Linked DNA regions of Callithrix jacchus. The protein of the gene in region 1 interacts with the protein of each later gene in a biochemical or structural test. Links are inferred from orthologs where the notes say so. Each region holds a gene or a part of one and is shown on either strand. Other genes may lie near its edges.

Region 1 (4,602 bases):
TTTAACCTACAAAAGTAGAAACTTGGACTATGCGATGGAAATCTTTGTCCCTCAGGATTCTATGTATAGCAGAATTGGTGGATAGCACATCTTTATTTGTGGATGAAGGCCACTGAACATATATAGCCTATTTTAATTATATGCACTTTTCATAGTCTCCTTTTAATGGTGGGTGTTTCGCGTTTTAATTTTGCCAATATTTCATCCCCCATGTTCAAGGACTCGAAGATATTTCTTCAAGAGTATCCATTGAATCAAAAGATCCTTTTTAAAAATGGGTCTCCTGATCATGGATCAGGACTTTCTAATTAGAAAAGGCAAAGGGCTGGAGAGCAAAGAAAGATGCAAATAAGGATGGGTGAAAGCAGCTGTCAGCCTGCGGGCTTCGGCAGCGCGAGGGAAAGGGAGATGGGGGCAGGCGAGAGCCACACCCTGGCTCAACTTTACTCGGGACAGACTTTCAAGGCCTCGGCTTTAATACCTTTAACGATCAAGTAGGCGATCGCGAGGAGGAGGGCGAGAAGGATGGCGAAGAGCAGCGAGCAGAAAATAGAAAGGACCTGGACCGGCCACCGCCGAGGCTGGGCTCTGTTGCCCGCAGCCGCCGGAAAGATACCATTGCGTTTATCGGGCAGAACGGGCGACCGGTCCGCGGTCGGCGGGAGTAGCGAGCCCTTTCTCGGCTCTGACCACGCCCCAGCCGAGAACTCCGCCCGCAGGTCGCGGGCCACTCGGTCGCATCCCTCCTCGTCGACTTCGCCTTCACCCCAACTGTCCCCCTGAGTAAAGGAGGAATACTTCGGCCGAGCCAAAGGGGCCGGGGTGCCGGGACCGCGGCGGCGCAGAGCCGACCGCAACCCGCTCTCCACAAACGACATGGCGCAAAAGACCGCGAAACCCGCGGAGAACGAGCCTCTCACATCCGCCCCGCCCAGTGTCCGCAGCAGCCAATCCGCGGCCGGGTGTCGCCCTGGCCGCCACCACCAGGTCTCGAAGCCCAGGGGTGGACCGCGGCAAGCAAGGGTGAGCGGCGGGGCGCAAAGGAAGCCGTGGGGCCGGAATACAGTCGGAATGCTCCTGGGCCAGAGCTCGACCCCAGAGCTGTAGCCGGAAGGGGGAGCAGGAAAGCGCGCAGGGAGAAGTGAGCGGAGGCCAAAGGCAGTCAAGTCTCGACTCCCTGCAGCGCTTCGTCCCGGCCGGAGACCTCCGCCACAGCCGCGTCACCGACTGGAGCCCGCGCCCCGACAGCCCAAAGCCGCATCTTTCCAACGCCGGGTCCTAGCGCCTTTTCGCAACCTCTGACACACATTCGCGAACCTATTTGCTCTCTTCCTTCTTCCCTGCTATGCTCACACTCTTTCTCTAGGTTCCCCAATTGAAGGCAGCTCTCTGTCCCGCGCTCTCGCGGTGCCTTAGTTACTCACCCCTACCTCCCTTTAGTGTGGTTCTCCCCAACCGTACCACAACTTCCCTCACGCTGCTCGACACGCCTCCTTCCCCCTAGCCCCAGCGCACTCTCCACCAGGTGCGTAAGGAGCTCGAACTCTCGTCTCGGAACTCCACCTCTCACCTTCCCCGCCCCCTCCCCTCCGCCTCGAGCGCAGCGCGCGCACCTTCGGCCCCCGCCGCCGCTAACGCTAGGGGCTGCTTACCCCCGCCCCTTCCACCCTGCTCCTGGCGGTCTCAGGTTTGTGGGGCGTACGTAACTCGGGCGGGGAGGGTGAAGGTGGCAGGCCCCCACTGCCCCACCCACTACGGGGTGAGGCGGTCTAAGCTCGGGAAGCTGGGATTCGGTTGTCTTCCCTTCCCCCCTGTTGAAGTTGGTAGAGTTTTCCCGACGGAGGACTAGGCGCAGAAACTTCCGTCCTCCTCCCCACTCCATGCAGGCGACGCCGAGTGAGGCTGAGGCTGGGGGCGAATCGCCGCAGAGCTGCGTGTCGGCGGCGCATTCTGATTGGACCTCGGCGAAGCCTGTCAGCCTGTTGGCCCCGCTGGTCCCGCCCCGTAGCGCAGGGCAGCCTTTAACCTTTAGCCCCAGCGGGCGCCAGCCACTCAGATCGCTTCTTGTTGGTATGTGTAGCGGCAGTGGCCGCCGGCAGAGCAGTCTGAGCCCGACGATGAGGCCAGGGACGGGAGCTGAGCGTGGAGGCCTCATGGTGAGTGAAATGGAGAGCCATCCTCCCTCGCAGGGTCCTGGGGATGGGGAGCGGAGATTGTCCGGCTCCAGCCTCTGCTCCGGCTCTTGGGTCTCTGCTGACGGCTTCCTGAGGAGACGGCCCTCGGTAAGGGATCAGTGGGGCAGTGGGTAGGCGGCACAATGAGAAACGAAATGGGAGAAACAGGAAGCTTTCTCCGAAAGGAGAAGATAAGAGTGGACGAAGGAAGAACTCGAGATGGTGGGATATGTTCTGAGGGAGAGAATTGGAGAGTGGGGTTACACAAAGAGAAGGATGGGAGACCCTAGAAGTTCCCCGTGGGCTTGGCCTAAACAGATGCGTGGTGAAGGTGCTAGTTCTTGGGCGGGGTGAGCGTCTTGGAGCTTTAGGCCGGATTTAGCTGGGAGGGGGAGCAGGGACTTGATTCTCTAAGACTTTAACAGCGACTGCCAAAATTTGTTTTCATTAGTCGAGGTAGTGGTCTGCAGGGGGAACTCTTGGGACAATTGGCAAGAGTTAATTACCTGGTTTTAATTTAAAACATGGAACAATGGATTCATCGGTAAAGAACGTAGTTGTCTTTTTAAAGTGCGTTAAAATAGATGAATTAGTTATTTGCATTTAGCGTCCGTGAGTGACAGAACCTTAGTCTTTTAAAATGTATTTTTGGCAGAAGAATTTTAACTGTTTTAAAGGTTATGTTAGAAAATAAGTTTCTTAGGCGTGAATTGACCCCGGGTACCCTTACTGTTTGTGTTTTATAAGACCGGCTCTCACCAGAGTTAACTTGATAGAGCATTTTAAAGTTTAAAATCAGTAGTGTTACAAAATAACAATAGCTGGCTATCTTGTATATCTGCATGAAACAGAAGAGTTGTTGTTTTCACCAAAACAGTTTTAAAATTAGCATTTAATATATATCTTCCAATCATAGTAAGCCAATTAGTACCTGATTGTCAATGCTTAAAAAGTAAAAAATAGAAAATCTATGATGCAGCTGTCCAGTAATCATCTTAACTTTTTCTGTTTTGTTATGGAATTTGCAAGCTCGTTTTAAATGCCAGCAGAATGCATTTTGTTTAAAGTATAGACTGATCCAATTATGTGATTACACATAAGGTTAATATTGTCGCAGATAACTGATTTGTTGAAATGAGATTTTTGAGAAGCATTTAGTGTTACTTGCTAATTTAAAAATGTTCACTGTTTTTCAGATGGGGCACCCTGGCATGCATTATGCCCCAATGGGAATGCACCCTATGAGTCAGAGAGCAAATATGCCTCCTGTACCTCACGGAATGATGCCGCAGATGATGCCCCCTATGGGAGGGCCACCAATGGGACAAGTAAGAATGTTTTTGTTTTATTTTGCACTTATTTATTTGTTTTTGTCTCAGATATTCTGTCAAGATTTCGAAATCTAGGTCAATACTTAGAGTTAAGAATTAGTTTATGCCCGAATAATTTCAAATAAGCCAAATGTTGAATCATGACTAACGGAAATTTGAATGTAATGAAAAAAATCTGAGAAATTTACTGATGGCCTCAAGAAAAGAATTTTTTTCTTTATTATTTAAAAGTAACAGTGTGCATCCAGGCTTTTATTTTTTAATGATTATTTTTTCAAGCATGCCAGTTGAAGTTAATGTTCTAAGAGTAAATAATATCTGATAGAGCAACATAACTGATTTCGGTGGACCATGTAAATAAAGAGAATCTGAAAATAGCAATTGTTTAGGCCTTTGGCTTAGAGGGGATTTTATTCCTGAAATATCTTCCTCTTTCTGTGCTGGAGGAGGCTGAGGAAGGGTAGGGAGTTTGTGCTCTATAGTTCTGATTGTTCATAGGACAGTGCCAAATAGGTAGTTCATTTCCACTTGCACTATTTTTTTTAATGCTTATTGCTTGTACACTCCTGCTTTTGAGCTGTCCCTTTCATCTCTAGCATAAATTGTAAATGGACATTTTGTAGGAGTGATTTGGATCAGAAGGTTTCAACGCTGATTTAGTGATTTCGGTAGAACTGAGTTTCTAGAGAAGCATCCAAGAAAGGTAACAAGTTCAGTTACCATGAGTAATTTTGTGCTCCATGTTAAATTCTATAATCTTTTGGTAGCTGGGTTATTTCCATTTGAGTATTTCCATAAATCATCAAAAATTTAGTCTTAAGAAAATATTTTGGAAGCCAATTTCATGTGATCTTCTGCTAATTAATATTGTTTGATAATTGTTTAAGCTTTCATGGTTAAAGTTATTGGTGAAATTGCAGCAGGAAAAGGAGCTTGCTATGTGTCTGTCTCTTTTTACTTAACCTTAAGAGTAGAAGGGCTTAATGTCAAGTGATTTCCTTTTTTTTTTTTTATTTGGAATATTGCCCTTAATTTTGTTTAAAAAAAAAAAAAAAAAAAATTGTTCTAAGGCACCAGCCCCAAAAGATTCTGCCTGC
Region 2 (4,358 bases), on another chromosome or scaffold:
TGGTTACTAGTAATACCAAACATTTTCGGAGATTCTCTCCTCCTCCGAGATAACTTGGGCATTCTGAGAACAAACTGCTCTTAGCTAATTAAAAGATTTCTGCTGATATTAGCCTTAGTAAAAGATTTCAGGTTCCAGGACACGTCATTTATCATGCAGAGTTCCAAGCAGGCACATTTGCAGTGGAAACCGGGCTCCAGTAAGGTTAAAGAAATGAACTTCTCGTTCCATCTCCACATGGGAGGAATGTTCTGGAGGGACAACATCCTAAATTCATCTAGCCAGTTTTTTTTTTTTTTTTTTCCCAAACTCCACAGCATGCCTCCCTGCCCCGATAGATGAGACTGCACAGAGGCAGGGCAGGCACGGGAAATGACTCGTTGGAAATCACAAACACATACACACAGAATGCAAGCACCCTAACTCTTTGAACACACAGTGGTCTGTGCCTGGCCCCAGACCTACCTCAGGATTTCAACAGCACAAAAGTCAGAATACGGCTGACTGCATGATACTCTCCTACCAATCAGGTGAAACAAAGACCCGGTACTCTAAAGTATTCCAGGCAAAATTTTAATAACAGGCAATAGAAAGGTTTGATAGGCCAGTGCTAACAAGAAAGCCTTCGACATTTTCTTCAAGCCGTTAGGACAATGGAAAGGGAGGTACCCCTCCAACAGGCACCCTGCAGAGAAAACTATACTCTGGAAGCTGCCTGTGCTGTTGAAAGGGCTAGGCGTGTGACAAACAGCTAACTGGAGGGGTACCAGGGAGACAAACTGCCAACTATGAAGAACAAAGCAGAGACCTTAACTTGTCATGTCTCAAGCTGAGATGTACAAACTCTGTGATCATCAAGTGAGGCTTGTGTGTCTGCCTGGGGATGTGACTGTATTCCAGTGATCAGCCACCTAGCTGACCTGCCACGAATGGGTGACCTCTGGTGACTTATTTTAATAACCGTACTTACTACTTCTAGATTGACTGTGTTATTTAAGGTTCTGACATATCCAGGTAAGAAAATAAAAGCAAGTGTTTCCTAGACTCCTGACTGGGATTTGAAACAGAAATCCTGAAAAGCCCATAAATAAGCCTATTTTCCTAAATCCTTGGTGGAAATTCCCAAAAGATGAAAAAATCCAGACCCTGTCTTATTATAGGGACCTAGCATATTTCAAAAGACCCAAGAGGTCAGCTGACTCTGGTTATTAACTGAAATTGCTGAGACACAGATGAACATCCCAGGCACGGAATCCAAAATTCTCTAGAGTGATAATTATCTATGACTGCAATGATACTACCGAGGCCGTATATACTTCATTTTTACAGTATAACAAAATGCCTATAACTTAGAAGAGCCCTTCAATGTTCAGGCCACTCAATACCAGATCCAAGTAGGTTTGGTTCCTCGATTACCAACCAAGCCCTGAATTCGATCCTGTTATCTCAACAGTTTGGGGTACTGATCCCACACAGCATACAGACAACCTGTGAAAGGCTCGGCAGAGCCCATTCTTGTTCCTGGAAAAATAACCAGAAGCACACATCTGCCTGACCATGAGTCAGGAATATCAATTTTGTGGTGGAGCCCATTTCTGCTGTGACCAACCCACACCCGAACACACTCACAACAGAAGCAACCCCCACAGAGCAATTCCAGAATGAGCTTTTTCCCCCTCGGGGTCCATACTTATCAATGTCATAAACGGTCTCCCCTTCGAGAGCAATCCTTTTAAACTCTTCATAATGACCCTAAGTCTTTAGTGCAAAACCACAGAAACATTGCCACTGCCACACAAAAGTCATCTGAGTTTCAGTTTGGGTGATTCGGTCATAACCAAACTCAACAGAGAATAACCTTTCGGGCACAATGAACAGTAGCCACAGCGTCGCGATAAACTTGCCCCATCTCGTACCGGTGATCCGGAGCGCTCCAGGGCGATGAGAGCCCGTTACCTACTATGTCCCACTCCACTTATGTAACTGGAAGATCGCCGGCGAAGGGGGGGTAGGATGGGAGGGTGCTCACATTCCGAGGCCACAGCACCCCCAAAGAACCTCTGAGCACCCTGAGGACACGCTCACACCTAAGAGCCTCAGGCGCCGAAGAGCCTCGGGTGCTGCTGGACGCACAGCACCCTACCCACGGCTCCTGATGGGAACTATAACCACCCCTTTATGATGAGTTGTGGGACCCAGAACACAATGTCTAGTCCCTTTTGTGGACAATAATCCCCACCTACTTGTTCCTGCTAGATGGGGAAAGGAGCCGGCGGACCGACTCGCTCGCAGTGGGGGCAGAAATTCATGGAATGGGCGAGAAGGAGGGGGAGGCAAAGCCCGGAGATGGGGGTGAGAGCGCAGGAGCCCTTGTGGCGCACTCTCCCGACGGGAGGCGAAGTGCGCACGCGCGCCGGTGGGGGGGCCGAGTAACGGGAGAGGGGGCGCGCGAGGGAGGGAGAGGGGAGAGCGCGATCCAGGGAGAGACCGGGGCCGCGGGCGCGCGACGACGCCGCGGCCCAAAGCCCCGAAAAGGGCAGGAGCGCGCGCAGCCCCGACAGGCGAAGCCCCGGCGACAGCGGCGCCCGCGGGGCCGGGGGCCGGGGGCCGGGATGCGCGCAGAGGGCGGGAGAAAGAGGTGCGCCAGGCGAAGGAGGCTCCGGGGAGGCCGCGCCGAGGACGGTCACCCGCGAGCACGGGTGACGGGCCGAGGGGGAGAGTCGCCACCGGCGGAGGGAGGGGGAGGGTACAGAGGAGGGACGCCATCCGCCAGCCGTGTCGTCCGACCCCGCGGGCCCCTCCCGCGCCACGTCCCGCCCCTGTCCCCCGCCCCCCAGCAAGGGTCCCCGCCCGCGGCCACGGCGGTCCCACTCACAGTCTCTCCTCCTCGCCTCCTCCTCCTCCTCCGCTCGGCGCGGCGGCGGCGGCGGCCATTTTCCGGACGGCTTTTACCACAGCCCTCTCTCCGAGAGGAGGGAGCGCGCGCGCCGCCGACGCCGGGACCCCGCACGGCCGACGTCGCGCCCCGCCCTCCCGGCCGGCCCGCGCGCTGCTGCACCTGCGCGCCCGCGCCCCGCCCCCGGCGCAGCTGCGAGCCCACCCGTCATTGGCTGGGGCGGCCGGGTTGGGGCGGGGAGTCTCAGCGGTGATGTCGTCAATTGGCGAGATTTTCTGTCCATTTCGGCCAGGGAAAAGAGGGCAGACCCCTCTAGCTGTTCATTGGCTGCTTTCGGCCGTCGTTTGGGGAAAAGAGGCGGCTTGGGCGCGGAGGGGTTTAGTGGGCGGAATTTGAATGTTAAGGATTAATGGGCCCTTGCGGATGCTGGGGCAAGTGAAGGTGTAGGCTTGGGACGTTGTTTGCGTCCCAAGCAAACCCTCTGTCCGCAGATGCATCGAGTGCGCTGCAAAAGGGTTGCATTGCACCCGCATTTTCTCAATATCACCATCTTCAGCAGAAGCAGCAAAGTTGTCCGCCCTGGAGCCTGACGTTGCTCCAGCTGAGGGGCCTTGGTTTCAGAGGCCTACTCGTTGCATTATTTCATCTGAGCCTGCCGGGTGCTTACGCTCATAGGGGCGGGGAATAAACTGACGACAAATCCCAACCCTGGCCTTCGCAGAACTCTGGCGGGGGAAGAGAGTGCATGCCAAGGCCTCGTGACACCTGTCATTGTTGGATCAGATGGTTTGGTGGAGGTGTGAATAAGGAGCGCAGAGAAAGCTGCACTTAGGTCTTCCTGGAAGATGTGATTTGGGAGCTGAGATCCAGCAGTTTTTCACTTTCCTAGAAGAGTTGATTTGCAGTTGAGATCCAGCAACTGTGTTTTGGGAAAATAAGAGTATAGAAAAAGTGTTAGCCAACCAGGCGTTCAGGACAGGGATGTTTGTTAAGGGGACCTTACCCTGGTGCCAGTCATTATCCAATCCATGCAATGATCTTTGTGTTAGTTCTGTGCTTAGCAAGAAAACCTGGTTCTGATTTGGCTGCCTGCCCCCATTCATTTATTGACTACCTGCTATGTGCCAGGCACTCTTCCAGGTTCTGGGTGCACAGTACTGAACAGACAGCAGACTAACATTCTTGCCGGGAGAGTCATACTAGCATACAAATAAGTCTAATATGTAATTTCACATAGTGATAAAGGCTTCAAGAAAGAAAGTAAGAGTGAAGGGAATGCTGTTTAGATAGCTACTGGTTTTCACCCTCATTTTCCTCCCCCTTATGAATATCTGGGGAAAGAACATTCCAGGCAAGTTCAAAGGCCATGAGGAGAGACTATGCCTGGCATGTTGGGGACTAACAAGGAGGTCAATGTTGCTGGAAAGTGGTAGGGAATGTGATTGGAGAGGCAGCCGGGGCC

What was found.
Region 2: the proteins of PRPF40A (region 1) and MECP2 form a complex in vitro, tested with the Homo sapiens proteins (2 studies listed by BioGRID, with this or other methods). The link is inferred for Callithrix jacchus from reciprocal best matches to the Homo sapiens genes PRPF40A and MECP2.

Annotation. Positions count from the first base shown.
Region 1 is NC_133507.1:77,363,929-77,368,530, forward strand, and holds the start of PRPF40A (pre-mRNA-processing factor 40 homolog A), read left to right. Parts: upstream 1-1,696; 5' UTR 1,697-1,880; coding exon 1,881-2,282; intron 2,283-3,370; coding exon 3,371-3,502; intron 3,503-4,602. Other genes in the region: ARL6IP6 (ADP-ribosylation factor-like protein 6-interacting protein 6), read right to left, coding at 482-878.
Region 2 is NC_133524.1:150,008,330-150,012,687, forward strand, and holds the start of MECP2 (methyl-CpG-binding protein 2), read right to left. Parts: upstream 2,968-4,358; 5' UTR 2,935-2,967; coding exon 2,876-2,934; intron 2,405-2,875; exon of another isoform or gene 2,244-2,404; intron 1-2,243. UniProt on the Homo sapiens protein: Chromosomal protein that binds to methylated DNA. It can bind specifically to a single methyl-CpG pair. It is not influenced by sequences flanking the methyl-CpGs.